Linked DNA regions of Struthio camelus. The protein of the gene in region 2 interacts with the protein of the main gene of each other region in a pairwise test. Links are inferred from orthologs where the notes say so. Each region holds a gene or a part of one and is shown on either strand. Other genes may lie near its edges.

What was found.
Region 1: the proteins of EIF4ENIF1 (region 2) and EFHC1 interact in binary tests that used the Homo sapiens proteins (3 or more experiments, as listed by UniProt). The two-hybrid records come from large-scale screens. The link is inferred for Struthio camelus from reciprocal best matches to the Homo sapiens genes EIF4ENIF1 and EFHC1.
Region 3: the proteins of EIF4ENIF1 (region 2) and EIF4E2 interact in binary tests that used the Homo sapiens proteins (3 or more experiments, as listed by UniProt). The two-hybrid records come from large-scale screens. The link is inferred for Struthio camelus from reciprocal best matches to the Homo sapiens genes EIF4ENIF1 and EIF4E2.

What each region holds. Positions count from the first base shown.
Region 1 is NC_090944.1:11,500,785-11,510,769, reverse strand, and holds the start of EFHC1 (EF-hand domain-containing protein 1), read left to right. Parts: upstream 1-5,043; 5' UTR 5,044-5,122; coding exon 5,123-5,185; intron 5,186-7,277; exon of another isoform or gene 7,278-9,985. UniProt on the Homo sapiens protein: Microtubule inner protein (MIP) part of the dynein-decorated doublet microtubules (DMTs) in cilia axoneme, which is required for motile cilia beating.
Region 2 is NC_090958.1:8,294,947-8,305,177, forward strand, and holds the start of EIF4ENIF1 (eukaryotic translation initiation factor 4E transporter), read right to left. Parts: upstream 4,787-10,231; 5' UTR 4,663-4,786; intron 4,276-4,662; 5' UTR 4,272-4,275; coding exon 4,152-4,271; intron 1-4,151. Other genes in the region: protein SFI1 homolog, read left to right, coding at 7,090-7,109, 9,150-9,344. UniProt on the Homo sapiens protein: EIF4E-binding protein that regulates translation and stability of mRNAs in processing bodies (P-bodies). Plays a key role in P-bodies to coordinate the storage of translationally inactive mRNAs in the cytoplasm and prevent their degradation.
Region 3 is NC_090950.1:22,232,959-22,243,553, reverse strand, and holds the start of EIF4E2 (eukaryotic translation initiation factor 4E type 2), read left to right. Parts: upstream 1-6,584; 5' UTR 6,585-6,725; coding exon 6,726-6,745; intron 6,746-7,525; coding exon 7,526-7,640; intron 7,641-8,928; coding exon 8,929-9,063; intron 9,064-10,595. Other genes in the region: cytochrome P450 2J5, read left to right, coding at 181-346, 926-1,075, 1,553-1,713, 2,876-3,061, 3,472-3,613, 3,805-3,992, 4,808-4,949, 5,993-6,171. UniProt on the Homo sapiens protein: Recognizes and binds the 7-methylguanosine-containing mRNA cap during an early step in the initiation. Acts as a repressor of translation initiation.

The DNA.
Region 1 (9,985 bases), on a different chromosome or scaffold from region 2:
GTGAAACTTTGGCCAGAAAGAGAACTTTCTGGAACAATTCTGTGTGTGATGGTGGTGGTGATTTGACCTATTCCCATGTTACCCCTCAGGTGATGCCACCCGTGTCCCCATGTGACCCTGCACTCAGACCTGGAGCTGACCTCCTGGTTACTATGATGGGCTGATGTAGCAGGGAATTGCAATATAGATCGCTGCTGCTGTGGGGAATGCACCTTTGTGTCACAAGAGGCTCGTCTACACTGGAGCTTCCTCCATCCATGTGTCTTTCCTCCTCCTCTTCCTCCAACCACTTAATTTATTTTCCTCATCCCAAGAATTTATCCTTGTGCCTTATGCACCTGGCTGCCTACCTGTGCAGACTCTGTATGCTCTGCAGTCTGCTGCATCTCACCTGGGCTGGGACTGGAAGGTGGCTACCAATGCCCTCCTCAAAGCTGTGCTGTTGATCTAGGGGAGAAGACCGTGACTGCGTCCTGAGAGAGTAAAAGTGCTGCTGTGCTAAACGCTTGGCCCATCTGAAGGCATCTCAGGGACTCGTGCTTTGGGCTCAGGGCCTGGAGTGCACCTTCTTCCATCCTGGTGCTCCTCTAAGGAGGCATGGCTGGAAGGCATGTGACCAGCTGCAGGGGTTTGGTGGAGAGCTGACCACCAAAGGCTGAGCACTTCTGAGAGTGAGTCATGAAGGGACCAAGGTCCTAACCCTCTCCCGCAGGAATCTCCAGTCCTGCAGTAGCATTTTTGCAGCTCTTGTAGCCCCAGATACGTACCGGTCAGCTCCTGAGAATTCATCCCAGCGTGCCTTATGCTGTTCCCTTTTGGGATTCATCCTGTGGGGACCCCAGCTAATACCCACTGACAGAATTTGCTTGGTATAAGGAGCAGACGAGGAGGATGGAAAGAGATGCCTTAAACTTATATTTACGCTGATTGATTTGTGTAACAGGGCAAGGACAGGTTCCTCCTGTGCCTTGCTATTTACATCTTTTACTGACAAGATTGTTTTTAAGCACTGTTTGTTACTAAACATAAGTACAAAGGCATTTGTATTTTTCCCTGGAAAACAGGGAAGAGTATGAGTGTTACGTATTAACCATTCTGTTCCCAATCCCCATTTGCTGACTTTGTATTGTTGAAAACATTGACAATATTTTAAGCCTTGTATTGCACTGATCATTATTTAAACTCCTCAGTGAAAATAGACATGTGTAAAAGCAAAATGATTGGTGTGGTGTGAAATGCACAAATGCAAAACTAGAGAAGGTTTTGAGTCATTAGGAAGAAAATTTGGCCTTTTAGAGTAGGAGTGGGTAGTAATTATAATTAACAGTAGGGTGCAGTTTTTATCTGTGTATCTCCAAGCATTTTCCAGGCTTCACAGTAACTATGTGATTATCATTCCCTTTTCACAGAGGAGGTGCAGAATGACTGCCTTGACACTGATTACAGGGATTAAAGGTCATCATCTGCAAAAGTATTTTGGTGCTGAGTTCTCCTTAACTTCTGTTGGAGGCAAGTGTCTAAATGTCTTGGTGGGCCTGGTCCAGAGCAGCGCAGCTTCAGTGGCAGAGCTGTGAACACAAGTGCCACTTCAAGCAAAGCATTTCGGCACATGTTTAAAATAAAGCAAAAAGACATGACCAGCAGAAGCGATATCCATCAGTTAGTCATGGGCCTACGTGAAACAAGGCCAGAGCTCCTACTCCTCTTGCCGATAGCTGTGTGATCGTGTACGTACCCCATCCCACAGGATATACACTCACTGTGAATTTCAGTCATCTAAGAAATTTGCAATATTTCCTTCTATGACCATCATACTTACAATTTTATTTATAATTTTGTAATATAACATGCAGATCAAGACTTAGGTACTGTCATGTTTTCAACCACCAGAGGGCGAGATGTCTTCGCCATCGGCAGCTACAAAAGGCCTCCAGTGCCACGAAAGCAGAGCCTTCAGTGCTAGCTCTCCAGACAGGCTTAGGAAAAAATGCTCCCATACAAGCAGGCATCCATCCAACTCTGCAGAGACATGCATTTCTGCACGAGGGATGTGCTAGAGTCTGGCCCTCTGGGTAAGTGACAGGGATTTCACCAGACGAGTTAGGCCCCAGTTTTATGTTTCCATAAAATAAAAACTTTAGAGGAATGGGAGAAAATACCAAAACACAAAAATAGGGCTGTTAGCTTTTTTAACTAGAAATTAAAATAGAGATTTGTGGTATGCTGAGAAGAAACTGTAACCGAGTAACCGAGGCAGTAACACCGAGGTGTTACTGTTTTAGAGAATGTATTTATTAAATGTCCTTCATTATTTAGTATTACACACACATATCCTTGGTGCTTGAAAAGATAGAGCTGATTATTCGCAGAAGAGGCCAGAACTGGCTTATCCCAACTGCATGGAGTCAAATACAAAAAGTAAAAGCGCTTCCAAAGGAGAAGAAAAAAGCACTTTGTTTCAGTCATTTCAGATGTCACCACAGAGGCGAGGAATCAGATATTGCAGCAGTTAGTTGCCTCAGAAGAAAGACCTTGATGTGGTTATTTTACCTAATGAGAAAGCTTTATTTGGTCTTATCCTTGCAGCTCAGTGATAATGCAGTCTAAGCAGCTGAGTGTTAGCAAACAGCTCTAAATGAGACGTTGCCTTCTTTGTTCTGCTAAGCAGCTATCAGAGATGGTCTCAATGACTAGGTCAGGGGAAGAATTATTCCCAGTGTTGCCTGCTGCTCCTGTTGACTTCAGAGAGAGAAGCGGAGGCTTAACAGCCCTGGAAAGCAGGATTGTACATGCCTCAACCTCTAGGCATGCTACCTGCTGTGGTCTTAAATTCTGCAGCTGTCCCCAGCGTTTCCTCATCCTTTATCTTATCAAAACACTTTGCTTTGTTCTGGTTGAAGATGAGACTTACTCTCGATCCAGAACAACTCCCCTAGCTCTGAAGAAAAGAGCACTACACTTAAATCTTAGCAGTCTCTTTTCTAACATACCTCTATCAAATATTTGGTCCTGGGGGGGGGGGGGGGGGGGGGGGGCAAATAGATGGGGCACAGGAAAAAAGCAACCCAAACTTGTATTGCTTCTTCAGGGTGTCTGTTGGCAAATGAGACAACGAAGCAGTCATAGCAAGTAGTGTAGGAGAGCAGTCTGATTTGTGAATCCCTGAACAGTTCAGTAGACATGGGGACACTCAGGTAGCAAGTCTGAGGTTACTGACAATAAGCCTGTGTTTCTCAGTGTCTTTTAACAGACCCACTGGAAATAACCCCTGTATCCCCAGGACTCCTCAGACCACAGGTGGGGCATATTGAAACATCATCCACTCTCCTTGCAGCAAGGGCATTCATAGGTTAGATTTTTTTATTCCTATGTATCACAGTAGTGTATATACACATCATAGCACATTCTTTGCTCCAAAACATGTGACTTTTAAACAGATAAGGGATGGGAAAGCTTGCTAAAGGAAACATTGTTCCTTTTCCCTTTTACTAAAAAAAAGTTGGGATGTAGGAGACTAAAGGGGCTCATCTTAAGCCTGACTTGCCTGTTGATATCAAAGATGCAGCTGAATCCAGATTTTGTGAGTTCCAGTTCAGTTCCTTATTCCTCATTTCTCCTCTCTCCTGCCATATGGCCACTATTCCTACCCTAAGAAAGTATCAGTTTCTGCTATGGCTTTCCTTAATCTTCCGCTCTCCATTCACATCTCCCTTAAAACACCCAGGAGGAAAGTGCTGAGGCCACAGTCTCCTGGTCGTGTCCCTGTTCACGTCCAGGACCTAGGGTCTTCCTTTGTGACCCTAGATAAGTCCCTAAGCCTCGCTTGGGCTTAATTCCTGGCTCACGCAGGCATACAGCAGCACTTCTTCCCCTTGCAGGGTGCACACAGCGGCGCTCTGCCACTTTGCAAGGCGTTGCTGCCGTTTCCTTAGAGGATGATGCTTGGCCCACAGAGACAAACTACAGTCAGCTGCTGCGGCCGAGGAAAAGGTGCTCAAGAGCAGGCTGGTTTGAGCAGACGCTGGCGAGCACAGAGAAAGGAGACCGCAGCATCCTTCCCTGGGCAGGGTATTGGCTCTTGCTAAGCTCAGGACGCCCTGCGAAATGGTCCTTGGACACCGCAACAAGAGAAATAATCAGCCAAAGAGAGAAGTGAGGTCCCAGCAGCTGCATCCGAGCCAGCAGTCCCACAGCTGCTTGCTGTCTTTCAAACCCCGCACTTTCCGCACTCCTTGGCCTTCAGACTCTTATTTTCCTTTCTAAGCTCATTGGGCCCGTTCCTTATCTCCCACCGGCTGCTCTTCTCCTCTCTCCCCCACCACGGCCAGAGAGAGGATCCAGCTGCATCTCCCACCGCTTGGCTTCTGCTTACGAAACGCCCAGATCCCGCTGCCTGCCCCGGCACCGCAGCCCGGCCGGCGGCGGGCACTGGTGACGCAGACACGGAGGGAAAGAAACGCAGACAGCTCTTTTCCCCTCGGTGGCTGACCTGCCTCCCTCTCTCCTGTGGTGTCGAGGGGCGATTTTTGCGCAACAGCCCTGTCCACGATGGCCCTGCTGCTTCCTCCTCGTTCCTTCCGAAAGAGACGAGCACAAAAAGGAGGCAGCGCATCCGTGCTCGGCTGGACCGAACCTGCTGTTCCCCAGCTCATACTGCGATGTAGGTACTAAATCAACGCCCTTAATTTACCGGGTTAATATAATTTGGAGCGTCTCAGGCACGGTTGTGGCCCTGCATGCCTGCTCCCCTCCCTGGCCGCAGCACAGGACAGGGACCACCCCAAAAAAGGGCGCCTGGATGCCACCAAGGCTAAGGTCACTCTGGCCTTCCCCGCTCGCCTTGGCGGCCGCTCCCCCCCACCCCCCGCCGCCATGGCGCTGCCGCCCTCGCGTTGCCACGGCAACTTCCCCGCCTCTCCCCCTTCGCGCCCTTTCGTTCACCGCGCAGGCGCGGAGCGCGCCGGCTCGCCTCCATGCGCAGGCGCGGAGCGCGCCGGCCGGCTCAGCGCGCAGGCGCCCAACTCCCAGCTGCGCCTGCGCGTTGGGCCGGCCGGCGGTTGCCATGGAGACGGCGTCACGGGGCGCCGCGGCAGCCCGCTGAGGCAGCGCCGCCGCCGCCGCCATGAGCTCGCAGCCGGGGCAGGGGCTGCCCTTCCTGCCGGGCAGCGCCTTCAGGGACCCCACGGTGAGCGCCGCCGCCCGGCCCATCCTGCCTCCTGGGAGCCGCCCCCCTACTCCGGCCCGACCCCCCCGAGGGCCGGGCCTCTGCACCCCCCACCTGCTCTAGGGAGCCGTTATTGCTCTGCCCCCCCCCTCCCCCCCCCACCGCCCCGGCCCCCTCAGGGGATCTGGTACCCCCTGAGCGCCCCCCACCCCGGGGACCTGGTACTCTCTCAGCCCCTCTCCAATTCCTCCAGGAGGCCCCACATCCCCCTCAAACTCACCTAATTCCCCCGAGGGGATCTGTACTCTGTCAGTCCCCCTCTAATTCCACCCCAGAGACCCGGTATCCCTCAAAACTCACCTAATTCCCCCAGGGCATGTGGTACTCTCTCAGCCCTCCCTCTGATTCCCCAAGGAGACCCAGTACCCTCCCCCTCAAACTCATCTAATACCCCCTAGGGCACCTGATACCCCTTGATCTCTCCCCTAGATAACTTATTACTTCCTCAGCCCCTGCTCTAATTTCCCCAGGTGACCTGGTAACCCCCTGCAAATGCACTTAATATCCTGTAGGGGAACTGGTACCCACTGACCACCCCACGTTGCGCACCTCATTCTCCCTCGGCGTCTGCCTCCGATTCCCCTAGGGGAGCTGGTACCCTGGCAGGGGACCCCAGGGGGACCTGGTACCCCCTGAACTCACCTGACCTTCCTCAAGGACTCAGTACCCTCTGAACTCACCCCTGGAGAATCTGGTATTTCCCAAACCCAACTGATGCCCCTGAGCTCACTTCTGGGGGACCTGATACCTTCTCACTCCGCCTCGTAGCCCCTGACCCTACTCCTAAGCCCTCCCAATAGACCTGATCCCTTGGGAATGGATTTGAGGGTATACTGAGCCCACTACTCAGGGTACTCGGTACTCTTGAACCCATCCCCAAGGAACCCATTACATCTTGCATCCACCTCCTCAAAGAGGAGAGAGCGCTTTGGAGAGCTAGGTTCCTCCAGGCTCATTTGAGATTCCCAAAGTTTTCTTGCTAACCACAGAACTATCACCTGTTGAATTGTGTTGACCCTGTCTTGTGAACCACTATCTGCAGACTCACCCCAAGGGGATCCAGCATGCCTGAATCTATCCAGTACTTCCCCTTCCAATCCATGTCATACCTCTGGGGAAGGAGTATCCCCAAACTCACTTGACAGTATTGAAACCTGAGTCCCGCAAGAAAACTGTTGTTTCTCTGAACCGTCTCAGTTTTCTGAACAGCATGTGCTGTGACTTCACCACTCATTCTGATACTGCCCAGAACCAGGACCCATAAACTCACCTGGTCTCCCTTCAACTGTCTTGGTATCCCCAGGAGAACCAATACCTGCCAAAACTCTAGTAGTACTCCACAACGAATGAATCACTCAAACAGATATGTCCTGAACTCGCCAAACTTTGTTAAAGGGACAAATGCGCACTCTGAAGTGGCCTGTCTCCTGTTCAACCAATATATTTCCGATACCCCTTCCACCAAAGGTCTGATACTTCTGCAAATGCCCTCTGAACACTCCCCGTATCCCTTGGAGAACTGAATCCTTTATAGTCCACAGGGAACTGATGCCCTGGAACCTGAGTAACTGATAGTCTTCAGAGAACTGGTATTCCTCCAAAGACCTGATACCACCAGGCCTTCCAAGATCCTCCAGAGGAAGTGAGACCCTTTCAGCTCCTCTCAGTATTCCTTGGAAGAAGCAATCTCTTCCTCATCCTCTGCACTGGAATTAATACCTAAATGAGGAAGCAACCCCTTCTTTCCCCCATTCCCAGTGGTCTGATGTAGTGAGGATCTGATAACCCCAAACCCTCGTTATATCCTCTTGAGAAAGTACTGCCCACACAGACAGGGACGGATGTGCCCTGAATCTTAAGTACTGCTGCAGACCTGTCAACTGCTCTGCCCTCCCTGGGGGAACTAATATATTGAGTCTTGACATCATTACCCATCTTCGACTCAATACCACTAATGTCAGTTTGAGAAACCAGTATCCTTGAACTCTCCTGACTCTGCTTCACTTGAAGGCAATACTCCCTACTCCAAACTGTTGTAGGGAACACGTGAGCAGACCTGACATTGCCCTGGAGCTCCATATCCTTAAGGGGCTCTCTCATTTCCATGTGGCTCAGTATTCCAGGTCAAGCCCCATCTTCCCCCTGTTCCCTTCAGGTACATTCATGGTGCCTGGCCTTGGGAACAGGGCCCTAATATGCTCTGATATTGTAGGATAAGTAACCTCATGCACTTGCGTGTGAACGTTTGCCGTGGAACATGCCTTACCTCAAGAAAAGAGATGCCGTAGGACAGTATTCCTTGTCGTGGATACTCCCACTGAAAACTGACACATCCAGAGCAAGCATTTCTATGTGTTCCTGATAACTCCCCTAGAGTGATCTCTCCAATAGAGAGATCCTCTTACTAATCCAGTCCACCCTTTGGGATCTGATATGGCTAACTTTCTCAAGGGATGGTGAACCCTGTTGCCACTTAGCCTGCTCTGCTCTTCCCATATCACCCACTACAGCCTCTTACCTTCTGGGACATAGACCTCATGCTTACCTGATGTTCCAGTGGAAATGCTGAAACTTCTACAATAGAAACTTCTGTAACTCTTGATTGCTTCTCAAGCGAGGGGTGGAGGAACCTCTGAAGGATTTTAAGAACACCGATGGAATCTAATGCTCCCTTACGAAGATAACACCTTATGTTTCTTATAGCAGTAGTGTTCTTGTCACTGGTATCTGCTTGATAGATGTGCTCTTGACATGGATTGTCTTATGATGCACTCTGATAAAAACCCAGTCCAGTTCATTCTAGATGCATTTATAGGAACCCAATTTTCTCTATTTTCTATAGCGGAACCCCTTCTTATCTTTATTTTGCTTGTCTGTGGATTAGAGATACTCAAGGATAAATTGTCACTGTACCAGTCTTACTGGTGCTTTCTGAAACGAACTGAAATGAACTGTCCAACTATATTAAGTTAGTGACAGCTGAGTTCTTCAACGGTAAGCGAAGTCATTTACTCTTAATAATACTCTTAATCATGCAGGTATAAAGGTTATTCAGTATTAGTCTCAGCTTAATAATATTTTTCCTCAATGTCATCTATAAGTTTTTAAAAATTTGCAATGCAAATCTCCGCACCTCACAAAAGATTATTTCCTATTTCAGAAATATCCCGCCTGCTTTAGTCATGTGAATGCTTCTACTGACTTCAGTAGAGCTGTGTGTGTGAATAACACCTGCAGGATTTAGCAGAGTGGATTGTTATTTTAGCGTAACAACATTTAGTTGGAATGTTAAACCATTGTTAATGTTTTAAGGAGATCTGGACTCCAGAAACAGCTTTGCAACGTTCCTCAGAATTAGTTTGGGTAAATAGTATCAACTCATTTTGCATCAGTTTCCCCACCTGGAAAATGGGCATTGTGATACTTATTTTCCAGGTGAACGTTGAGATGTGCTGAAGAAAACCTCTGCATATAAATGAGGTAGTATTGTTTTTGATTAGTATTCCTGTGGCAGAAGAACAGAAACGCTGGGAGGGGAAATGGCACTGTACGAAGCATTATAGACTTTGCAAAAAGAGGGGCTTTGTTCAGTGGCATTTCTTCAGATATGGACTGGAAGCAACTGAGATTAGGAGTTTACATTCTGGGCTTTCCCTGTTACATGTGCATTAGTCATCTGATATTGTGAGATGTAGTCTGGCATTCATGCTCACTTCTATGAGCCTGTTGACCCAGGAGTCTTACGAAGTTATGAGGTGTTTTCTTCAGGCAACTGCGGGTCCTTAAAAGCCTGTGCACTTCTGACAAACACTGATGTTACCCAATTTAAAGACAAACTTCCTGGTTTTCCTTGAATATTTTTCCCACTGCTTTCCCCTTGGCATTGATTTAACAGAAGGAAATGCAATTCTGTGGCAGGGATAATATTTATAAAATGTTCTGTTAACATAGCTTCGGTAAACTCTACCTTGTTTTCTCCTGAACTTGTTTTCCTAACTGCTCTTCCGTAGCACTGCAAGGTCCGTAGTATCCATTTAAAGAGAAAACAGGCAATTATATGAAATGCAAGTAGGGCCTTGAAGGTATAAATATGATTAAAGGTTTAACCATTGGGGCTGAGGGAGAGAGAGGAGAAGGAGTTCAGATGCCTGAGTTGGACTCATTGCATTTTGAGACTAGAAAAGGAGTTTTCTCTTGGTGGGTTGCAGTGGCTGGGAAGGGAACACTGCTTTCTCCTACTGCACAGACTCAGAACAGCTCACCTACATGTCAGAGGTCCTCTTCTACTGACAGCTAATTGCATCCTCCTCTATGTGAAGTAGAGGAATATTTGAAGCTGCAGGAACTGAAGCCTGTTCCTTCACTATAAATGCCTATAATTCTGTGCTGCTTGGCAAAACTCAAGGACTCAAAGTCAAGGACTTTATCATCAGGGATTCACAATTTCTCTTGCTTCCTCTGGAACATTAAGTGCAGGAAACCCAGTGAGACTAGCCAGGAATACCTTATTTCAAATGCCTGTAGAATTGAAGGGTAAGGTACTGGACATCGTGGACTGTACAGCAAGTTGAGTAGCCTGATGTCATTTAAGTCCGATCCTCATTCTTCAGCAGTGAAAAGCAGGACTGGACCGATAGCGATCGGGTACTATTCACAGCTGTGATGTTTTTTTGCTGTGGGTCATTAAGCAAACCAGGGAATGTCCTTGTGCCATCGGGATCCCTATTTAACAAGAAGAATGCTCAGCAGCTGTCATGAAGT
Region 2 (10,231 bases):
ATATAGTGCCTTAAACCAACAACCCAAATTTCCCAGTGTGTTTCATTTCCTGTTTATTGGTATAGTGAAGAGTTTACACTGGAAAGCAAGTTTATTTTTCAGTTCTTCCACTGATGACCACTGGGCAAACTTTGTCTCAGAAGAACCAATTCATTAATTAGAACTACAGATCATACCTCCCATTACCTTAATCTACAATACCTGAGACAATAATACTGCTTGAGAAGCAAGAGACTGGGCCAAGATAACATTGATACTTCATAAAACAAGCATCTGCACAGAAGAACCCTTTGAGAGCGATTTAGATGTCAGAAGCAGCCTTTTTACTGGTGGAGCTTCCAAAGAGGCAGCTGTTAAGCCTTTAGACTTATAACTACGCATCGTCACATCAGAACTACAAAAAAAACCTGAAAACAAATATACAGTCTTAAATTACTAACCGGTATGAGCAACTTAGTAGCATAATGCCTAGCAAGTGACTTCAGCTTCCCTTTAAAGTTTTTGTCATATTAGATGACTACAGGAGTAAAACTTGCTTTCAGTCTTACATATGCTAACTCTCTAAAGTCACACTTACTTGAAGCACTAAGCCTTACTAGGTCAAGTTCAGTCCTCATTAGCACTTGAAAGGCTATTCACATTGTATATGTTCTACTTATCCACTTCCCTGGACAACTAAACTTACAAGCAAGATAAACATGATTGATATTAGCACTAGTAAGTTTAAGATGCAATGAAAATTGCTATGTTCAATGCTGTATAAGATTCAGAGAGTAAAAAAGTATTACCGCAATACTAGCAATTAAGATAGATCTCAGTTCCAGACAAGCTTGCTATTTCTGACCATCACCAATTCCAACAAAAAAAGACACGTATATTTTACAGTTATATCTACTCAATCCAATGCCAGATCAGTGTTGAATAATTACTTCAGTTTTCCACTTTCTACCAGCTTACAAACAGTCCTTGACTTACAACTGCACACCCCTGAACAGCTGGTCATTTAATCTAGAGTGTCACTGCAGTTTGCCACATTTAGAAAGCTGTATTAATGGTGCGATAGTTGATGCTTTGAATCATGATTAACTCAGCTGCAGCAATAAAGATGTATATTTCTAATTAAACTTACTCCTCTTCCCTAGCTTATCTTACTTCAGTCTGCCTCACTCCCAACTGTACTGAACGGATTCAGAACTGGGTAGAAATCAGTGGAAGCTAGAAGGATAAAGGGATCCTAACAGCAGACACCACATGAACCAAACTGAAGAAGGGAATGTCTCTAACATCCTCCCAAAGATGCAACATTGAACTACAGTGTTCAACAGGTGATTATAGTCACATTGCTTGAAAGACTCCAGATGTCAATTACTCAATAGCTGTACAAAACCTAAGAAAAATATGTATATAGGTACATACACCCTCCCCCCCATAACAGCTTAATATACCAAGGAACACTTCAGCTAGACTGGGAGAAATCATTTGACTGAAGAGGAATATTTGAATGTGACAGGATAACATTTATGCTGGCAATATGTAGAATGGATACTATCTAGCAGACAAGATGGTACTAGCAATTATTACAGTAATGCATTCTGAAGAGTCCATTTTATTTAACCCTATTTAGGGTAAGTCTAGTATTCACATTAATCTTGTTCCCTGCTCTATGCAAGGACTCTAAACCTACTCTTTCCTAGCCCTACTAGAAGTCTGGAATAGAACTTATCCCTGAACCCTAGGGATAAAACCCTAGGTCCCTAAAACTAGGGTAGGGCCACATAGCCATTCTCTATCCTGCACTGGTGTTTCATCATCTTTCTCGAAAAGAAGAGCTGCTGCTTGGAAAGGGCTTGCACCAGAGAAGGGAGTCCCAGACAGCAGGGAGCTCCCAGCATTAACTTGTATTAGCCTTCACCATAAAGAGTTATATTTTCCTAGCAAGACCAGACAGCCTGGAGAGCAGAGCTTTAAAGGGAGGCAGACTGGCCTGCACCCACAGCCTCCCAAAATAAATTATGACCTGTGAGAAACATTAGTACTGTAATACTATCATAGTCTGGATGTAGATATCAGAAGTATTAATGGCATTGTCCACCATCAGATTTCATATTTACTATTTTGCTGGCCACGAGAGGGAGTCCCTAGACTTCCAATCAAATTCTATTGCAAGTCTTCCATTGAAGTGAGGAAGATTTGAATTGTTTTTTTTTAAGCTTTCACTTGTTAGCTGGAGTAACAGCTTTTAAAGAACTAGGAAAGACACAGCTTTGAGAATATAACACATTTCCTCATAATAGAGGAGATTAGTGTTAGCACTTTCACAGTTTTTTTTGATTCACCCAGCAGTACTTTCAAGCAGGTAAGGGGAAAGGTGTGTTTAGCTGTTATTAGGAAGTATTATTCAAGCAGTTTGAGGATTCATAGTGTGAACCAGTCGTTCTCCCACCAGTAGAAAGTGAATATAAATTGTCAAAGGAAAACAGGCCCTCCTCCAAATCAGTATATCTCCTGAAGTACTATTTCTTTCCCCCGCCCCATAGGGAGTTGGATCATGTGAAAACAGCTTTTAATATTAATCCCATGAGCATCTTAAATCAGCTGCATTTAAGGCATGTTAATTGTAAAAAAAAAATAGCAATATTACTATGTGGACATTTTAACATGGATTTATTTTTTTATATATGTTTCTTCACTCCAAGCTCTGTGGAAGCAGATAGATAAACAAGACTAGCTGCCTTCTGGCAATAATTCAGTCACTTTATTCTGAGCAGAATTAGGGGTACAGAGTTAACAGCTGCAGCTACAACTGCACCAATTTCATTGTACAACTACCATCAGTGCTGCCCGAATACTGCTCAAAACAGCCACCAGAATCTCAAGTTGCATTCAGTTATTCTTCTTGAGAAGAGCTGAGTGAGATCAACTGAGAACAGATATAGCTTTTAGGAACAGGGAACGTTCAGAGATAAAGCCACCACCCCCCCCTTGCTTTAGGGGTAACTGAATAACAAGTTCTGAACAATACTATAGTTTGCATCTTGGAAAGTTAAGAGAACATCTTTTCTAAGAAAAGAATTAGAGAAGCCATACTATTCCCATATAAGTTTTGCAGTTTTGAAATACTCAGGCCATTGTTGATGTCTGGTGAAAGTAAGCTAGTTCCACTATCTCAGTGGAACAGAGACACAATGATAGTTTTTTTTAAAACAACCTACTAGGAAACTAACAGTTCAGAATTCCTCAGGCAAGATAATACAGTCAGCAACAGTACACTGTCTCATTCTCTCTTCCTCACTTCAAGCCCTTTGTTGCAAAATATCTTAATAGATTTCTGCAAAGCCATGACCACCTGTTTCCACAGCTTTCAACAATGAAAATATCAACCACCTTCATAAAGGCTTTTGTTCTAAGGAAAAAAAAAAAGTCATCTTTCAGCACAGCACCAAGATCCAAAACAGAATTTGAACCTTAAAAACCTCATGGTTTATCAAAGATTTTTTTTAACACTAGGTAAGTTTATTTGCACATTATTTAACGAGGTTCTTCCACTCATACATTCAGGTATCACAGCTGAGCAAGGGCACCTGTGTTAAAGTTTTAACATTAAAGAGTGGTTGGATGCATAAGTGCTAAGCTTCTAACTCCCAAACAAGACCTGTTCTAAGAAAACATCCAAACAGAAATAAAGTGCCAGTGTGATCTGGCATACTACCTATCCCAAGAAAGTAGCATCATACGACAAGTAAACATTTTGGTCGTGTTCTTAAAGAAACATTGCTGAAAGTAGAACTAAAACAATGAAGTGCAAGTGCTTGAGAAAGCTGGTAGAACAACATACTTCAGGCTCTACCATGTCATCCCCAGCGCACGCTATGAGGTGCACAGATATAATAAGGTGATGGGAACCAAAAGTATATATGAAGGACAGTCAAGATTACACAGTCGCTTCAGATTAAACAAGTTGCTTGTCTCATGCCACCTTGAGAATCTCAACCCAAACAAAGGCCTCTCAAAACCGACCAGTCAGTCAAGTCTGACTTGGACTTTCCAAGTCAGGGAAACCTCTGCCTCCAACTCTACTTCTGTGAGCAACAGCTTCAGGCACCTTTTTTTCTTTTTTTTTTTTTTTTGGGGGGGGGGGAAGAGAAGCTTACTTTTGTGTAACGATGTGGGTATTTCGTTGTAATTCTGTTCAACTCAAGGAAAGCATCCCCATTTTCAGTTTCCGTTACACCTCCTCTTTTATCCATGGCTACTTCAAAGCCTTTGGCCATGGACCTAATAAAAAAAACAAAATCAAGGCATCAAATTTTAAGACACGCGTTTCTGGGGGGGGGGGAAGGGGGGAAAGGGGTGCATTTTCCTTTCAGCCCCCCAAACCATCCTCCAGATGTGACGCCTAACAACCACCACCGCCAGCCACAACAGCACGTTTTTCCTACTTGTCGCTTCCCCCCCTCGGCTGAGCGGCGCCAGCCGGCCGCTGCCCGCGGCTCCGGGGGCGGCGGCACCGAGAGCCCCAGCGCGGGGGCGGCCGGGCAGCGCGGCGCGGCCCGGCCCAGGCCCGTGCCGGGGCGCCGAGGGCCCCCGCGCCCCGCTGAGGGGGCGGGGGCGCCGGGGCAGGTGACTCAGCGGATCCCCACCTGCGCCGCGGCCGCTACTCACCGCGCCGGCGGCGGGTCTCCCGGCGGCGCTCCGCTCCGCTCCAGGCCTCACCGCCGCCGCCCGCGGCGCTTCCTGCTCCCGGCCGCCGGCTCCGCTCCGCCGCCCGGCGCTGCCCGCGGCGGCGCCCCGCTCCCAACCCGCTCCCTTCCCCCACCACCACCTGCCCCGGGCCGGCGCCGCCGCCCGCCGCCGCCTCCGCTCGCGCGGCTCCGGCCCCTCCGCGGCTCCTCGCTCGCTCGCGCGCCCTCTCCCTATTCGCCCGACTCTGGCTCTCCTCAGCCGCCGTAACCGGGGCCTTCCGCTGCCCGCCCCGCACCCCTTTAATGGCCCGCGCGCAGGCGCGGCGGCGGGCGCGCGCCGGGGCTCCCCGCGCCGCGCCTGACTGGAAAGGGCGGGCGGCGGCGGCGGGGAGCGCAACGCCGCCGCCGGCCTGGCGGGGCGCCGCGGGGCGGGGGGGGAGGCGGCCGCCCCGCCGCCGTCTGTGGCGGCCAGCGCGGCGGCGGCGGGTGAGGAGAGAGGCGGGCAGCGCGGGGGGGCCTCAGGCGCGCGCCGCGGGCAGCCCCGCGGGGGAGGAGGCGGCGGGACGGGGGGGAGGGGGGCGCCATGCGCCCGGGGCGGGCGGGACCGGCCTGGGCCTCGGCCCCGGCCGCGGCGATCGCGCTTGACAGCGGCGCGGCCCGCCCGGCCGCCCCGGGTCGCTCCTCTTCCCGGCGCCGTGCCTGCGGGCGCAGGGCGGCTCCCGCGCTCGGAGGAGCCGAGGCGCCTTCGTTTTCGGTCCGTGCGGGCTTCGCCGGGGGGGCGCCCGGCGAAACGGCCTCGACGGGCTGTTTTCTGAAGGAGCGCGCGTGCATAGACGGTGAAGGGACGAGCCGGAAAGGACTACACATACCGCCCGCCTCCATTCGTAGCCCTTTTTGCATGGGTTTGGCGGTTTACCCTTTAAAACAGTGAAGTGTACGTTAAAAAAAAAACGAGCCAGGCCGTGGCCTACACGCTGCACAGCCCTTCAGAAGGTTTTTTTTTTTTTTAAAACGCACTTTATCGGGCTGCCACCTCCGCTCGGTGCAAGCTGGCGTGCCGGCAGGAGAGCAGGCGGGGAAACGCGGGAGGGAGCGGGGCAGCCGGGGCGGGGGCTGCCGGCAGGTCGTGAGCGAGGAGCGGGGCGGGGGCCCTAAGGCCCCTCATGCCCCAAACTCCTTGGACGGAGCTGCACGGGGAGCACATGCAGCGCTGCTGAAGAACGGGCGGGGGGTTTGTCCGTCTGTTTGCCAATTGCCTGAAACGTCAGTAGTAAAGATTATATGTGCGGTCACCTGTGGAACGAAACAAAACCAAACATTTCTCAGTCTTTCCGTAGCTGACAGACCTAAGTGCTGTAGCACGAATAGGGCAGCGCTGCGACTGCTGGAAACTTGACGCCGTAACGCGTACGCTCCCGAGACGAGCGCCGCGGGGGGCCCTGAAGGGCCTCTCGCCTTGCTTTAGCTTCCATAAACGCCCCGATCCTCCTGCTTCGCGCCTTGCGAGGGAGCACAGCCGCTCCCACAGAAAACCCGGGCCACCGGCGAACCGGGGCCGGGAGCCCGGGGCGGCCGCCGCCCCTCCCGCCTGCTGGGGGCCGCTGCGCGCTCGCCCCGCCCCCGCCCCGCCCCCTCTCCCTGCGCGCGGGCGGCGCGCGCCGCGCTGAGGCGCCGCCGCCGCTGCTGCTGCTGCTGCCCGCGCTGTGGTGAGGCGGCGGCGGCGGCAGCCGGGGGGCGGGGGGGAGCGTGAGGGGGTGCGGAGGGCGGGAGGAGGGAGCGGGGGGGGCAGCTCCTTCCCTGGGGGGCCGCTGGGGTGCTGCGTCAGCCGCAGCCGGTTTTCCCGCCGTCCGCGGGGTTTGGGCTGGCCCTGGGTGGTGTTGAGGGTTTCGTTTTCTTCGTCCTCGCGTGCTTGCGGAGGGAGGGGGTAGCGTCTGTAAACAACAGCGACGCGAGGAGGTACGAAAGGAATCAGTTAGCGTAGGTAGCAGGTTTCCCACACCTCGATGGTTTGGAAACAGCGGGTACGTAGCTTAGGGCCTCTTGGCCAGTTTACAGCCCTTTTCCAGTCACGGCCCTGCTTAGCTAGGCGCTGCTGTGGTCTTAGCGTTCAGCTCGTTGCCGCTGTCCGTGGCCGGTAGGGTCTGCCGGCACAGGGCCGTTGGAGCCCGCAGGGCCTGGGCGTGCAGGGGGACGCTGCTCATGCTGAACATCTGCCCTATACTCTGCGCGCAGGGTGGGTGAGGGGAATTCAGGTCGTTTTTAAGAGCTGCAGAGTGAAATTAGCATAGATGGGATTTGATCACATCAGAAATAACAAGAAATAATTTATGCTTTGTCCCAAGATAACATACAACCTTCCTGTGCAGAGAGTGCGCTTGTTTACTGCAGGCTGGGAATTGTAGGCAACATGGAGAAGTGCAAGAGCAGGTAAGCAGTAGTAAGATGCTGCTTTGTTAAAGGACTCGGGCGTATTATTTTCATTATGACAACTTATGCGTTCCATGGCACAGAAACAAATTAAGATTTTTTTTTTTAATTAATTTCCATGGAAGACTCTTAATCAGAAAATGTACCTCTTGGCGGGGGGGAATTACCTTTGTGGTTTATGTTACCATAACGCTAAAATACAAAAGTGAAGTTCTTGAGCTTCAGGTATTAGACTGGGTCATAAGATACTTGGATACAATTGCTTGCCCAGGCACAAATTTCCTCTGTGATATTAAGCAATTCTCTTATCTTTCACATGTTTTTATTTCCTGACTTAAAAAAGGGAAATGATCCTTCTTCAACCCTTATTTTTCTTGGCTACTTCACATAAATTCTCAAGCGCATGGGTTGCCGTCACTGCATATATGTAATAGCTCTCACATACGGTTCTTGATATTTAGGAATAATCTATTATAAATTATGTTTATTGAAAAATCATTACATATTCACATGCCCTGGACTTTTGTTAATACAAACTTCTACATGTTCCACCCATGCTTGATTTTTACTGTTTTCTGTGATGTTGCAGCTGTGTGCATGATCAGACTAAGTTTACCTTTGGAATAGAGTAGAAGGTTTTGAAGGGAACTGGGTCTAATAGAAATGCGCAAGAAATGTACTGGAAGCAATTTTGCATAATTTAAAAAGTGTCTGAAACTCTTTTCTTCAAAAGTGCACGCAATTGCCTCAGCTGCACATCTTGACATGCACAGAATTCTCTTGTCTGCCAGATGTGGCCCTTCTCTTTCAGAAAATAATCAAAATGATATTTTATAGGGGAACAAGAATTTATCTCTGTGGCAAACTACAGGTCTTGTTTTCTTTCGTTAGGTTTGTTTTAGCTTCTTGCAGCCTGCTGGAATGAGCCAAGAGTACTATTTTTTCTTCTATGAGATTTTAACTAATATTGGAATTTTTTTTCTAATTTATTGTGAATGCTTTGAATTGGTGTTCAGCTGAACTCCTGAGACCTATTAGTGTGGATTATTCCAATAACTGTGGACCAAGATTTTTCCTGGCTGCAGCCATATATTTTTCCTAGCTCTCCTCAGGTGATTATTGGGATGAGATTTCAGACTGTCTCTTCTGTTGAGTGTTAAGGAGTTCAAGAATGTTTTTGTGGTTCTAATGTGCAAATTTTCAGGGTGGTGACAGTATTTGTTTTGAGAAAGAAGCTTCAATACAACTGGTTCAACAGGTTTTATCTGGTTAGTTTTTTTTTTTATCATGCTTGTTTTCAGAAAATTGTTGAGGCAAAATACTTAGAATTTGTAAAAACATTTTTCAAATGTTATTTTTCAAATTAGAGCTAGGCTTCAAAATAAACTGCATAATGGAAAAATGTACTTAATTTTGCTTTTTAATGATGGCTATATGAAGACAGGAAGGGATTTTTAGTAATTTTTTTCTTAAAGAAAAAACATAACTGATGCAAGTATAAGCAAAACTAGGGAAGATCTCCTTGTAAACAGACTGCATGTGTAAGTGGCTTTCCTATTAAAGTGATCATTGAGAAATCCTCACCTCAGTTCTGTAGTCCTCAAGAGAGTTTTTCAGCAGTAGACAAAACGGCTTGATTTGTTCAAGAATAAAAAAAGGCAGAAAAACACATTTAAGTCTTATTATTTTCTGTAAAAGCCTTAATTTTTACTGTATATAAGTACATGGGAGGGGAAGCACAAATGCATTTTAGTTCTTTCTCATTTCAACTTTAAAGGAGAAAGGAACTGTCTGTGACATGACTGCTCTGAAATCTGACTTACTGCCGTTCATGGGGAAATGGCCTTACGATTCCAGAAATAAAGTTAGTGAATAATGCGTGACAAGAGAGATGTTAAATGTGTTGTAACGTTGGGTAGCTGTCAGTTTCTCTATGTGATTGTATAGCTTTGTTATAGGTTAATCCATAGAAATGATGCCGCTTCTTTACAATTAACAGGGTCTTACACACAGTATGTTTTCTTTTATTTCCTTTTTAAGTTCAAAATCTCTGAAGATGCGTGCAACCCAACAACTGCATAGACCTAAAATGCATGCAGCTGGTCACTCTGCTGCTTGTCAGTGTGTTGCTCCACGATCTGCTGGACATCGATTTCAGAACGGGGGTCATCACAGTCCATGTCCAGTTGGGTGTATCTGCAATCAAGGAAGAAGGTTAAAAGAACTCCAGATCAGGTGATAAGACCAAAACACAATTTTCACTCAAAGGAGCAGGGGGATAGTTCTCTTCAAGAGTTCTGATGTTTTTAATGATATAACTGAGGGCTAAGGCAAAGGTTTTTCTCACAAGGGTGCCCAAAAATTCTGAAAATGTCTTGTGATGACTTGAGGATGTATGTTAGCACAGTCAGATTTCCTAGGTTTTTGGCTTTCTAATGTAAATTTTAAAAATGGCTATTTAAAAATGTGCTTTCCTGGAGACCGTCAAGTATAATGTTTTAGTCTTTCCCTGCTGTTGCGTTTCTTTCCTTTTGTTTGTTGACGGAATCATGACAAAGATGGGACTGTAACTGTAAAGAGATTTAAGTTTGGTTTTGATTGGACAATTTGATTGGACAAATTGAGCTGATCTAGCAGCTCTGGTATGCTGCAAGAGGGAAGTCCTGTTCATGGCTATGTGCTTTCCTGAAATACCTTGTACTGGCTTTAATGCCTGTTGGGGCCCTCTGTGAGCCAATTTAGCTCTTGAATCCATTAAAAAAAGAAGAGGGGGGTAGGAGGATAGTATCATAACCACATATTAGCAAGCCGGATTGGATCCTGGAGAAGCTTACTGAAAACTAGAACTGATGCGGGGGAGGAAGGAGGAAGGAGGACCTCCCTGTTTCAGGGCTAAACACTAGATAGTGGCTTAGCTCTTTCGGGAATGTAACTTTGACTCAGCTGGTTGATCTCAGAGAAACATTCATGTCCTTTCTTCTAAATGGCATAAAGGCACCCCAGTTAATCAGCAGCCTGCTCTTTAGAATCACTGGGTGTAAGTGGTTGCATGGAAGACATCTCGGCTATCTTGGTTTCAGAAACAAGCATGTCCCAAATCCATCCTGCAGTGATGTGCTGGT
Region 3 (10,595 bases), on a different chromosome or scaffold from region 2:
CAACATTTCTCCCTTCCCTTTCTTGGGCAATGCCCCAGACAAACTGCAAACCAGCCCTTGCATAAGAGAAATGATCTTTCATCTCTGGTCTAACAGTACCACTGGATGCGGACAGGAGACACAGCCTCTTCGTAAATTCTTCATGTCTATATGCCATTGTGTGTCTCATTGTCTCTCTAGATGGCGAGGATGTATGGAAATGTATACACACTGTGGCTGGGAAGAACACCGGTGATTGTGCTGAATGGATTCCAAGCAGTGAAGGATGCCTTGATTGAGCACGCTGAAGAATTTGCTGAGAGACCCATCACACCCTTCTTTAGGGATGTCGTGGGAGGCCCCTATGGTACTTTCTGTTGTTGTGTGTACTGATGTATTTTTGTCATAACAAACTGTTCAGAGGATAGGGTGGGGTACAATGACTGCACCTACTCTTAATGCCTCTTCTCAAGATGTGCTGCTCTTGTTAGCAAGATGAATTCTGTAGACTCACTGTTCCACATCCTTCTGAAATGTGGGGCCCTAAATGTGCATGCAGTACACAAAATCAGCGGGTTTATACCAACAAAAAAAAACATTTATATGCTTGCATAGCCTGGGCAATTCTTAGTAATTGAGCATGTTACCAACCTATCTCAGGAAGTCTTTGCAGTAAAAGGCATAAAGTTGTAAGCGTATCAACTAGTAGGACTCAGTGTGTGTTGAGTATCTTTCTAGGTAAAGAAGGAGAAAAGGAAAGGCGGACATGGGGATTAAGTAGATGTGAAAAAAACAGCACAAACATCTCTGAGTTCTTATGCAAGTACTGTTGGGGATCCTTCCAAATTCATGCTGGCAAGTCTTCGAACCACTGTAATTTCATCAACCCTGCTTATGGGAAAGCCAGACCCATACTTCTCCCCAGTCATTCTCCATTTCATTGCAGGCATCATCTTTTCCAATGGGCACACCTGGAAGGAGCAGAGACGGTTCAGCCTGATGACTCTGCGGAACCTGGGTCTAGGCAAAAAAAGCCTGGAAGCCTGGATCCAGGAGGAAGCCAACTGCCTGGTCAAGGTCTTTGCCAGAGAAAGAGGTGAAACATAGATCTGTATGTGGTCATGACATGGCACAAATATCTCACTTTCTGTTTGAATGAGTACTGACTCACTGACCGGCATGTGGAAGGGCTCATTCTCCTTGAGTATTTCAAACCCTGTCTTTTCTACTGGAGGTTGCCAGTTTCCCTAATTTCTACAGATGATGCTTTCACAATTCATTTTGCACTCAGCTGGAACATCACATCTGACTCATTGCTTTCCCTCTAACCCTTTACTGGGGAAAGTACTGGGGAAGTACTCCTAAATTGTCCTTTTCTGCAGGATGGAATCCTTCCCTCATTCATTATAAAGGTGCCCAAAGAATGATCTCCCAATTAGACTCTTGTATCTTGACCCCTGCAGGATCAGTTATTTGTGTAATCCCATGCAAATCAGGAGTAGGCTGGATGGAAGTGTGACAATCGGCCATAGCCTGCACAAGAAGATAATGATGCAACTTTCTCTATTCATAGGCAGACCTATGGATCCCTCTCTCCCCATCCTTTCTTCCATCAACAACGTGATTGCTGCTGTGCTTTTTGGACATTGCTTCTCTACAGAGGCTGATGCGTTCCAGAGGCTGCTCAAAGGCTCGCAGGCCATGGCGGGATTCCTAGGCACCTTCTGGCCTCGAGTAAGCAAAAGATTGACCCATTCCCTCCAACTATATCAAAACCCTCTGGCCTTCCTCAGTGAGCTGTGGCATGAAATAGCCATTCTTTGCCAATGCCCAGTGATAAATAAGAGCTCTTGACTAAAGAAGACTGAGAGGCGATCTCATCAATGTGTACAAGTATCTGAAGGGGGACGGGGGGTGTTGAGAGGATGAGGCCAGTCTCTTCTCCATGGTGCCCAGTGACAGGACAAGAGGCAACGGGCACAAACTGAAACACAGGAAGTTCGGTCTGAACATGAGGACAAACTTCTTTCCTGTGAGGGTGACTGAGCACTGGAACAGGTTGCCCAGAGAGGTTGTGGAGTCTCCTTCCCTGGAGATATTCAAAACCCACCTGGACGCGATCCTGGGAAATATGCTCTAGGTGACCCTGCTTGAGCAAGGGGGTTGGACTAGATGATCTCCAGAGGTCCCTTCCAACCTCAGCCATTCTGTGATTCTGTGGTTCTGTGAAATACTGAACTCCGCTAAAAACAGCACTCCAGTTCCATTCTTTCTCAGTAATGGTTCCTCCACAAGCATTCATGGCTATCTCTGTCCACAGACCCATTGAATCTCCCACACTAATTCTCTTTCGACAGATTGATCTGACTTTATATTAAGATTATTCAGCATCAAGCCTGCCTTGGGGCCACACTCAGGTTTTTCCTCTTAGCTTTTTCCTCGAAGGGTTCTTTAATAGCCTACTTTTCCTATGTTAGATTGGGATCCTTCCAAACCGTTCAAAAAAATAGAGAAAGTTAACATTGTTGTGGCTTTGAGAACTACAGCAAAGTGCTGACTTAAGGTGTAAGAGGGAACAGGCATTTAGGGAGAGGCTTCACTTAGAAAACATAAGGAAAGCTGTACTGTAGCAGATTTAAATCCATCAACTCTAAAAGGTATTAGTGGAAAGCAGGTAATCTGGAAAGTAACTGTATGCTAATGATCACCCTTTGCACACTTTCTTCCTCCAAAATAGATAATAAATAAAATTAAGTGGTCATTTATTTCCTATAGTTTGACAAATAATATACCTGGATCATAGCCATGGTCAGCCACGGTTCAGCTGTGAACGTTTAGGCTTTAAAGAGTAGCTAAGATGTCACGGTGTTCCCTGTACCTGTATTTTCATGTGCAGCTCTACGATACTTTCCCATCACTGTTGAAGCACTTAAGCCCTGTGTTAATGAGATCACTGGTGGCATTAAAACACCTGCAGGATCTACGTACAGTTATTAAGGATGAGATCAGGAACCACCAGGAGAGCTGGGTGCCTGGAGAGCCACGGGACTTCATTGATGCATACCTAGCTCAGATGTTAAAGGTAACAAATAACTAACTGTCTTTTGTGCAGCTGCAGCATATTTAGAATACTTGTAGCCAAGATACTTCCAGCTGCATGTCTACCTCCTCCTCTTCTTCCTTCTCAGAGTCTATTTGTTGGGATATGTTTCTTTTAACTCACCCTCAAAAGCAAAGTATTTTCGCAAAGTACTAAGGATGTTCCTTGGTAGTCACCACAGAAACAGTAATGTTTCTCTACTCTCGACTGGAAAAAAAGTGTATTGTACACTGCTGTCCTCAGGAAGATTTTTTTTAACAGATCTATATGGCTGCTAGTTTTCCAGCTTCATCAATTCACTGTGGAACCTCTGAGGCAAAAAGCTCTGTTGCTGGAAATGTGCTATGCTATTAAAACTGCTTTACATTGCATTCATTGTCTCACATCTGAAGACAAAGGATGACCCCACATCTACGTTTAAAGAGACCAACATGGTGCAAGTGATCACAGACCTCTTCATAGCGGGTTCAGACACCACCACTATCACGTTATGCTGGGCTCTCCTCTACATGATGATGTACCCAGAAGTACAAGGTGAGAAATGCATGCACCTGCATTTACATCTGTGACTGTCCTTGCGCACTGCAGAGTAATAAGCAAAATTCAGTTGTCTCCCCTGCCCAAATTTTGCAGTTTAAGATGTCTTTGGCTGTTTGAGTCTCAGCATAGAGCCTAAGTATCAACTGCCTTCCTGAATGCTCACTACTAGCCTTTTTCTTCTGCAGAACGAGTCCAAGAAGAATTAGATGCTGTCATTGGTCCATCTCGTGCAATTGAATATAAGGACCGAGTGATCTTGCCGTACACAAATGCAGTTCTGCATGAGATTATGCGTTACAGCAGCATAAGTGCCATAGGGGTAATGCGCAAGTGCACCCAGGATACCATTCTACAAGGCTTCCCTATCACTAAGGTATGTTAAAGCCACAATATTTTTTGGTATGATCCTTAGATAAAGCAAAGAAAGGCAATCGATTCTTTTTACCTTTTTAACACCATATGTTGTGCTTATATTTTGCCCCAGGCAAAGCTGAGTTTGAACAACTTGTGCAAAACTCTTCATTGTGAATAGGAGGCAGGACATTATCTACATCCTACAGTAGAAATAAACTCCTACTCAGCTTCACTATCCTTTTGCAAAGATGCTCCTTATAATGGTTTTTCTATACCAGATTTCAGGAGTTAGATCAGTATAATTATATCAGTATAATGATCTTGTTCTTCTTTAAAACTGATGCAAGTCAAAGCCAAGTAGAAAAAACAAAGAAAATCTTGAATAATAGTGTTCATAGACACAACTTATTGTATAAGCAGAATGCTTTAGATCCATATCCAACCTTATACAGGTGGTCTTCCCAATGGACAAGACCTGTGTGGCTCTCAGGGAAGATGCCTTTGAAAAAGCAAGATGAAAAGTCAGAGGTCTTGGGACTGTGAAGCCTTCAATTCAGCATTTTTTTCCAAAGTTTCTGATTATTGCAAGCACAATTTTCTTGTAAAATACTGTGCTCTGATGCTCTAGAATCAATGTTAGAAAATACCTAATCATTTCTAAATAAGCTATTCTGCAGGAGAGAGCTTAGCATGACCGTGTTTCTCATCCCATAATAATTAGATGGCACATGCATTGGGCAATTTCAAGAGAGCAATTGGCACTTTGGCAATTTATGACATTAGTGCCTAACTTTGTGAAAAAGATCCTTTTATGTTCATTTTCTCTTTCTGTAGGGCACCTTAATTTTCCCCAACATATTTTCTGTCCTGTATGACAAAGAGCAATGGGTGACTCCTCGACAGTTTAACCCTGGTCATTTCCTGGACAAGGATGGAAACTTTGTGAGCAGAGAAGCCTTCATGCTCTTTTCTGCAGGTGAGAGCAATCCTCAGTATTGCTCACAGCTTTCCTATAGTGATTGTTTCACAGGCCAAAACCTTCCTAACATTCGATCTGCCACGAGTATTTTTGTTCATTCCCATAATAAGGTCTATGCAGCAAAAGACAGAGGTGCTGATTTCAGAGACCGGTAGCAGCTTCACCTTCTTGAGGAAAAAAAACTAAGACTACCTAGTGTCTGAAATTCTCAACAAAATGAACTGCGATTGTGGAAATGAGGTAGATTGTCCCGTGGGAAAAAAATGACAAATTAAAGATCCCTCAGAGAGCAGGGGATAGAAGTCTGTTTACTAATTAAGAACTGGCTCCTGGAAGATACTGGAAATCTCTACCAATATTGATATCAGTGGACACCAAGAGGCCAGCAGATGAAGCTGCTGCATATCAGGTTTATTTATGAACAGCATCTACATATGAACAATTTTTAGAACGCACATTCCTGATCTACAGGTTAAGGATTTTCTCTGACTCTATCCATGTCGTAAGTTGGTGGAGAAACAGAAAGTACTTTGGTCAGAAATCTGATCATTAATTCTGCTGGATAGCAGAAATTATTGGGCAGAGGTTTGTAAAAAGCTATGAGAAGATTCTCTTCTCATGGGGCAATGTCTTCTCTTCTCATGTAGTGTGAGGGGAAGCTGAAGGAGGGATTATCTCCCTGCCCTCTATGAACTGTCCATTAACCTCTCCTAACACATCAGGCATTGCAGGGTTTTACTGGTATATTTTTTCTCTCCTCTTCCCATCTCGGACGCTATCCATGTCTCAGGTGAGAGACACTAGAGAAATACAGCGACCGTAGACGTTGGAAGGGGCTGTAGATCTCAGCAGCTCTGTTCACAGGGTGCCCCAAGATGAGTGTTAACAGATCTAGAGCACTTCTCTGCTTTCATACCGCAGTAAGTGGCTACACGTAGGGACTGCAAATCTCTCCTGTTCTTCTGGGCTTCACAGCAGAGATGTGCTCTTGCCTACGCGGGGGTGAAGCCCACGCATGACACATTCTCCTCGCTCCGCAGGCCACCGCGTGTGTTTGGGGGAAGGGCTGGCCAGGATGAACCTCTTCATCAGCTTCAGCAGCCTGCTGCGGGCCTTCACCTTCCGGCTGCCGGAGGGAGTGAAGGAAGCCGATGACCGGCCCATCGTGGGGTTCATCCTCCAGCCGCACCCGTACAAGACCTGCGCCATCCCTCGCTAGACGCTGAGGGGAAGAAGAAGGGATGGGCGCAGGCTGTCTGGCTGAGGGCCGCCCTGTCACCACAGGAGCTAGCCGGGAGTTTTAGGTGACATATGGTCACCCTTTATCCACCAGAGACAACTGAACAGTATGAATAAAACGGGGAAGCTACCTGAACCCCTCGGCCTGTGTCTCTCCGCACTGGGCGGCCTCGCCGAGGGCAGGGCGCCACCCGCCTTTGGCGGCACGCCCGACTCGTGCCACTCCCAGCATGGCGGCTCTGCCCGCGCTCGCCGCGCTCAAGATGGCGGCGGTTCTGCACGCATTCAAGATGGCGCCCCTCCCGAGTCGCGAGAGAGTCAGCACTCAAGATGGTGGAAGGGGGGGGGGGGGAAGCCCCTTCCTTTTGCCCCTCCCTTAGTTCCTTCCGTTGTGCTCTGCGCTTATGTCGCCGGGGGAAAGCGCGACTCTGTGTCGGAGCCGCCCTGCCGTCGGAAGTGGAGGAAGGTTTTGGAGGGAGGACTCGGCAGAGCGGAAGTCGCTGAGGTGGACGGAGGTGGCGGCAGCGAGCGACGATGAACAACAAATTCGACGCGTGAGTCGGCGGCGGGGCCGTCCCCGACCGCCGCTACCGCCGGCCCGGGGGGCTGTGCGGTCTCCCCTGCCCCCCAGCCCGCCCCGGGGCTTCCCCCCCCCCCCAGCGGCGGCGCTGCCCCGGCGCCGTTGGGGCGGGACGCGATGAGTCACCGGGCTTCGCACAGCCCCGTTCTGCCCCCTCAGGACGGCCCGGCCCGGCCCCGGGGCTCCCGCCCGGTCCTGAGGAGAGCGGGCTCGGGGGGGGTGGGTGGGTCTGGCGGCATAGGGCCTTGCTCGCGACGAGGGGGTCCGCCTTCTGGCCCCACTTCTCTCTCCTCTTTTCCGGCCCTTCGCAGGGAAGGGGGCGGGCGGCGAGACCTGTGGGGCGCAGGGTGCCGGCGTGGTGTCTGCCCGCCCGGGGGACAGTCTCCGCTAGGCTTAGGGGCGGGGAGAGCTGGGTGGCTGAGAGTCAGCAAAACTGCGGTGGGTGGTCGCCTTGTTTGCCTCCCAAGCAGTCAGGTTTTTGTGCAGCAGATCTCTGTCCGTTATGAAGTGCTTGACTTTGTCCTAAAAAGGCATTTTGTTGCAGGCTTCTGCTTAAAAGTGTGTACCTAAGGTGCTTGTGATGGGCTCTGGGCATGACAAATCCCATCCGTAGTTTTCACTGTGTAGGTTGTCAAGTGTAGCTTTCCAAGCGCGGGTGGCTCTTGTGTGACATAGGAGCTTAGAAGCAGGGGCTGATGAGGCTTCTCGATTGTGACGTACAGGACTGTCATTCATTCTTTATTTCATTAACCAGTTTGAAGGATGATGATAGTGGAGATCATGACCAGAACGAGGAGAACAACACACAGAAAGACAGTGAGAAGGAAAAGAATGATCGAGAGAAACCACAGAGTAGTACCAAGAGGAAGGTAAGGGGCTGGCACCTGTGTTCTGTCACTAGGGCGTGATGGTGGAACGCTAGAGTGTTCTCAGTGCGGGGATAAGAAGAACACGTCTTAGTGTGCTATGGTCACTTTGTATACTGTTACTGCTGTAATGAAGATGGGGGGCTGTGTTAGCATTTGTTTAACTTGACATAGCATTCGGGGTATATGATCTGAGGGGTGAATGCTCCTTTCACAAACGCAGCTAATGCTCTGGCCGGCTTTTGAATGGGGAAGTGGGGAGAGGAAGGGGGAATGACTGACTGACTGACTGACTGAGTAGTGACTTGCAGTTGGCTTTCCAAGCTATGCTTTTTTGCCATTGTTGAAATAATCCTTAAGACGGGATCTGTATGAGGGTAAAGTAGCCTAGTTAGGAAGGCAAATACCCATCCTGTTTTTTATCTTGTGCTTAGGAAGACTGTACTCTCTGAAGTAATACAATCCTTATAAACTTGCTGTAGGCTAGTGGAGAGTAGGGATTTAAACCCTACTTGCTCTTGTAACAATATCAAGTGATGCAAGGTGATGGGTTTTTGGTGTTTTGGGTTTTTTTTTTTTTTTTTCTCCTGGCACTTGCGACTCTAGGGTAAGGACTTCTCATCTACCCATTTTATGCTCTTTAGAAACCTTTTTATTGCAAGTGGATGGAGACTGGAAAGTGATCGCTACCTACTGTTAGCAGTGGGTTCTGCCAAAGCTGACATAACAAGTTTTGAGACAGACTAATCCTTCCAGAGTCTTAGGGTGTTGGTTGCTTGGGGGAGCTGCTGTCACCAGGGAGTTATAATTGCTTTTGGATCATGATTCAGTGTAAATGGGCTTTGCTCTTCTCAGGGAATGAGAATGGCTTTTTCTTTTTCCTTAATTAAAAAAATTAAGCTCTTCTACTGCCCCTTTAGTTGGTCTATCTGTTTCCTTTGAGAAACTCACAGTCAAGGACTAAAACAAAAACTTAGTAATACTGTCTTTAATTATGATGAGGGTTACTTTGCGTGACACTCCCTCAAGCATAAGTTTTGTTACTTCCTTAGCCATCCCTGTACTGCAAATTTCTATTATTCTTTTGAAATAGAGTCAGCTGCTGTTAACCTAATGGTCCATGCCAGATAGTTAACAGAGATGGTATTTTTCTATGAAAATGAGGATGAGTTGTTTGTTTTACACTCGGTAGGGGCGGGAATATGTAGACCACTGATGCCCTGGATGTTACTTTTCCCATTCCCCTTCTAGAGGAGTGAATAAGGAATAAGCAAGCTTTTCTGTTCTGCAGGCTGTTGTCCCAGGGCCAGCTGAGCACCCCCTGCAGTATAATTACACTTTTTGGTACTCCAGACGAACACCTGGGAGGCCTACAAGCTCGCAGAGTTATGAACAGAACATCAAACAGATTGGCACCTTTGCCTCAGTGAGTATGTTCCTGTTGTTCTTGTCACCTGGGCATGGTGTGGTTGTCTTGGCTGGCTTAACTCCTCTTTGTTAGGGATATGCACGTGCATGCTCTGCTCTTCGTGTTGGGCAGAGGAGAGAAAGTGATGTGCCACGATTTTACAGGTGAGATTTTGAATTGCCTGCAGCAGGTGACATGTCTAAAGCAGTTCTCCTTTGCCCTGTGCTAGATAGACATCAGTGCCTGCAGTAATGGTGGAAGCTGGAATAATAATAGCAAGTGAAAAGAACTCCTGTTTAGCTTAAATTGGATAGCTGGAGCGGAACTTGGCGGGTAAGCAAAGAGAAGAAGGGAACAGCTTTTTCTGTGTGTGGAATTTGAATGCTGTGTAGTTGTACAGCCTGTTTTTTGTCTGTATCTCCACCACAAACGGTATATTTGGAACAGGCGTCTGGTCTGCTATACGTAAAAGTGGCTGATGGTCTTGTGTCCTTTAGCTGTCTGAAAGTGATTGAGGTGTGGTTTGGTGTTGCAGTGAAGTTTATTTGAAGGCAAACAGCTGTCCCTTCCCCTCCCACTCTTTTTGATGGTTTGTTGCTAGAATAACTTGAGCATACCCTGGAAGGGCAATGTTGGATTGTTGCATAGTACCGATAATCTGAAATAGTCATTAAGATCCCAAGAGACACAGGAAAAAACATGTCCTTAGTTGCAGAGGCACCAAATATAATGCTGTTCTCAAGTCCATTGGCTGCTTGGTGCCTGCTTGGGTTATTTCGGGAACTTGATTGTTAGGACAGCAGAGGAATTGCCTTTTTTTTTTTTTTTTTTTTTTTTTTTTAAATCTTACATTTTCCTCCAGATGGTCTAGGGTCTCCTGCAAATGTTAATTCTTCCCATCAGTAAATCTCTCTTCTGCAATGCTGGAATTTGTAAAAATATCCCTTTATCCCTTATGGGGGCTGCAAAAAGATGCCTGTCTGGGCAGCTAGCTTGTGTTATTGCATCTGCACAGGGTAAGAATGGGAAGAATAGCTCTAAGCATGTTGAATCACAGGTAGCTCCTGCTCCTGTTCTCCTATGTTATCAATTGCTTTTTCATTCAGTGAATGAACAATTTATGTATGTATTCTCCCAGCTGTCATGACAGCAAGCCCAAATTGCTTGGACTGAGTGTGGCTGCTGTATGGTGATCTGGCAATAACTTTTCAGACTGTTCTTTAAATCAGTATGGACTTAAAATTGATTTTTAGGTCCTTGGAGGACAAACTTCACACATTCTGTTGTCTGCTCTTTGCTGCAAAGAATTTGTGGTTGCTGTGGTGGGCTAGAAATGCTTGATCTCAGTTAGGATGGGCGGCATTGGCCAGAAGATCTGTTAACGTGTTTGATTCCAAATATTCTGTTAAAGGTGGAGAGAAAACAGGTTTCAGAAAGAAGTTTCTGAGGCTAAATCAGGGTTCAGATGTAGTCTTTGCTTTTGATTAGAATGCCCTGAAAGCTTTTAAACGTTAACCGCTAGAGGGCATATTCACTCACTGTAAGAATTT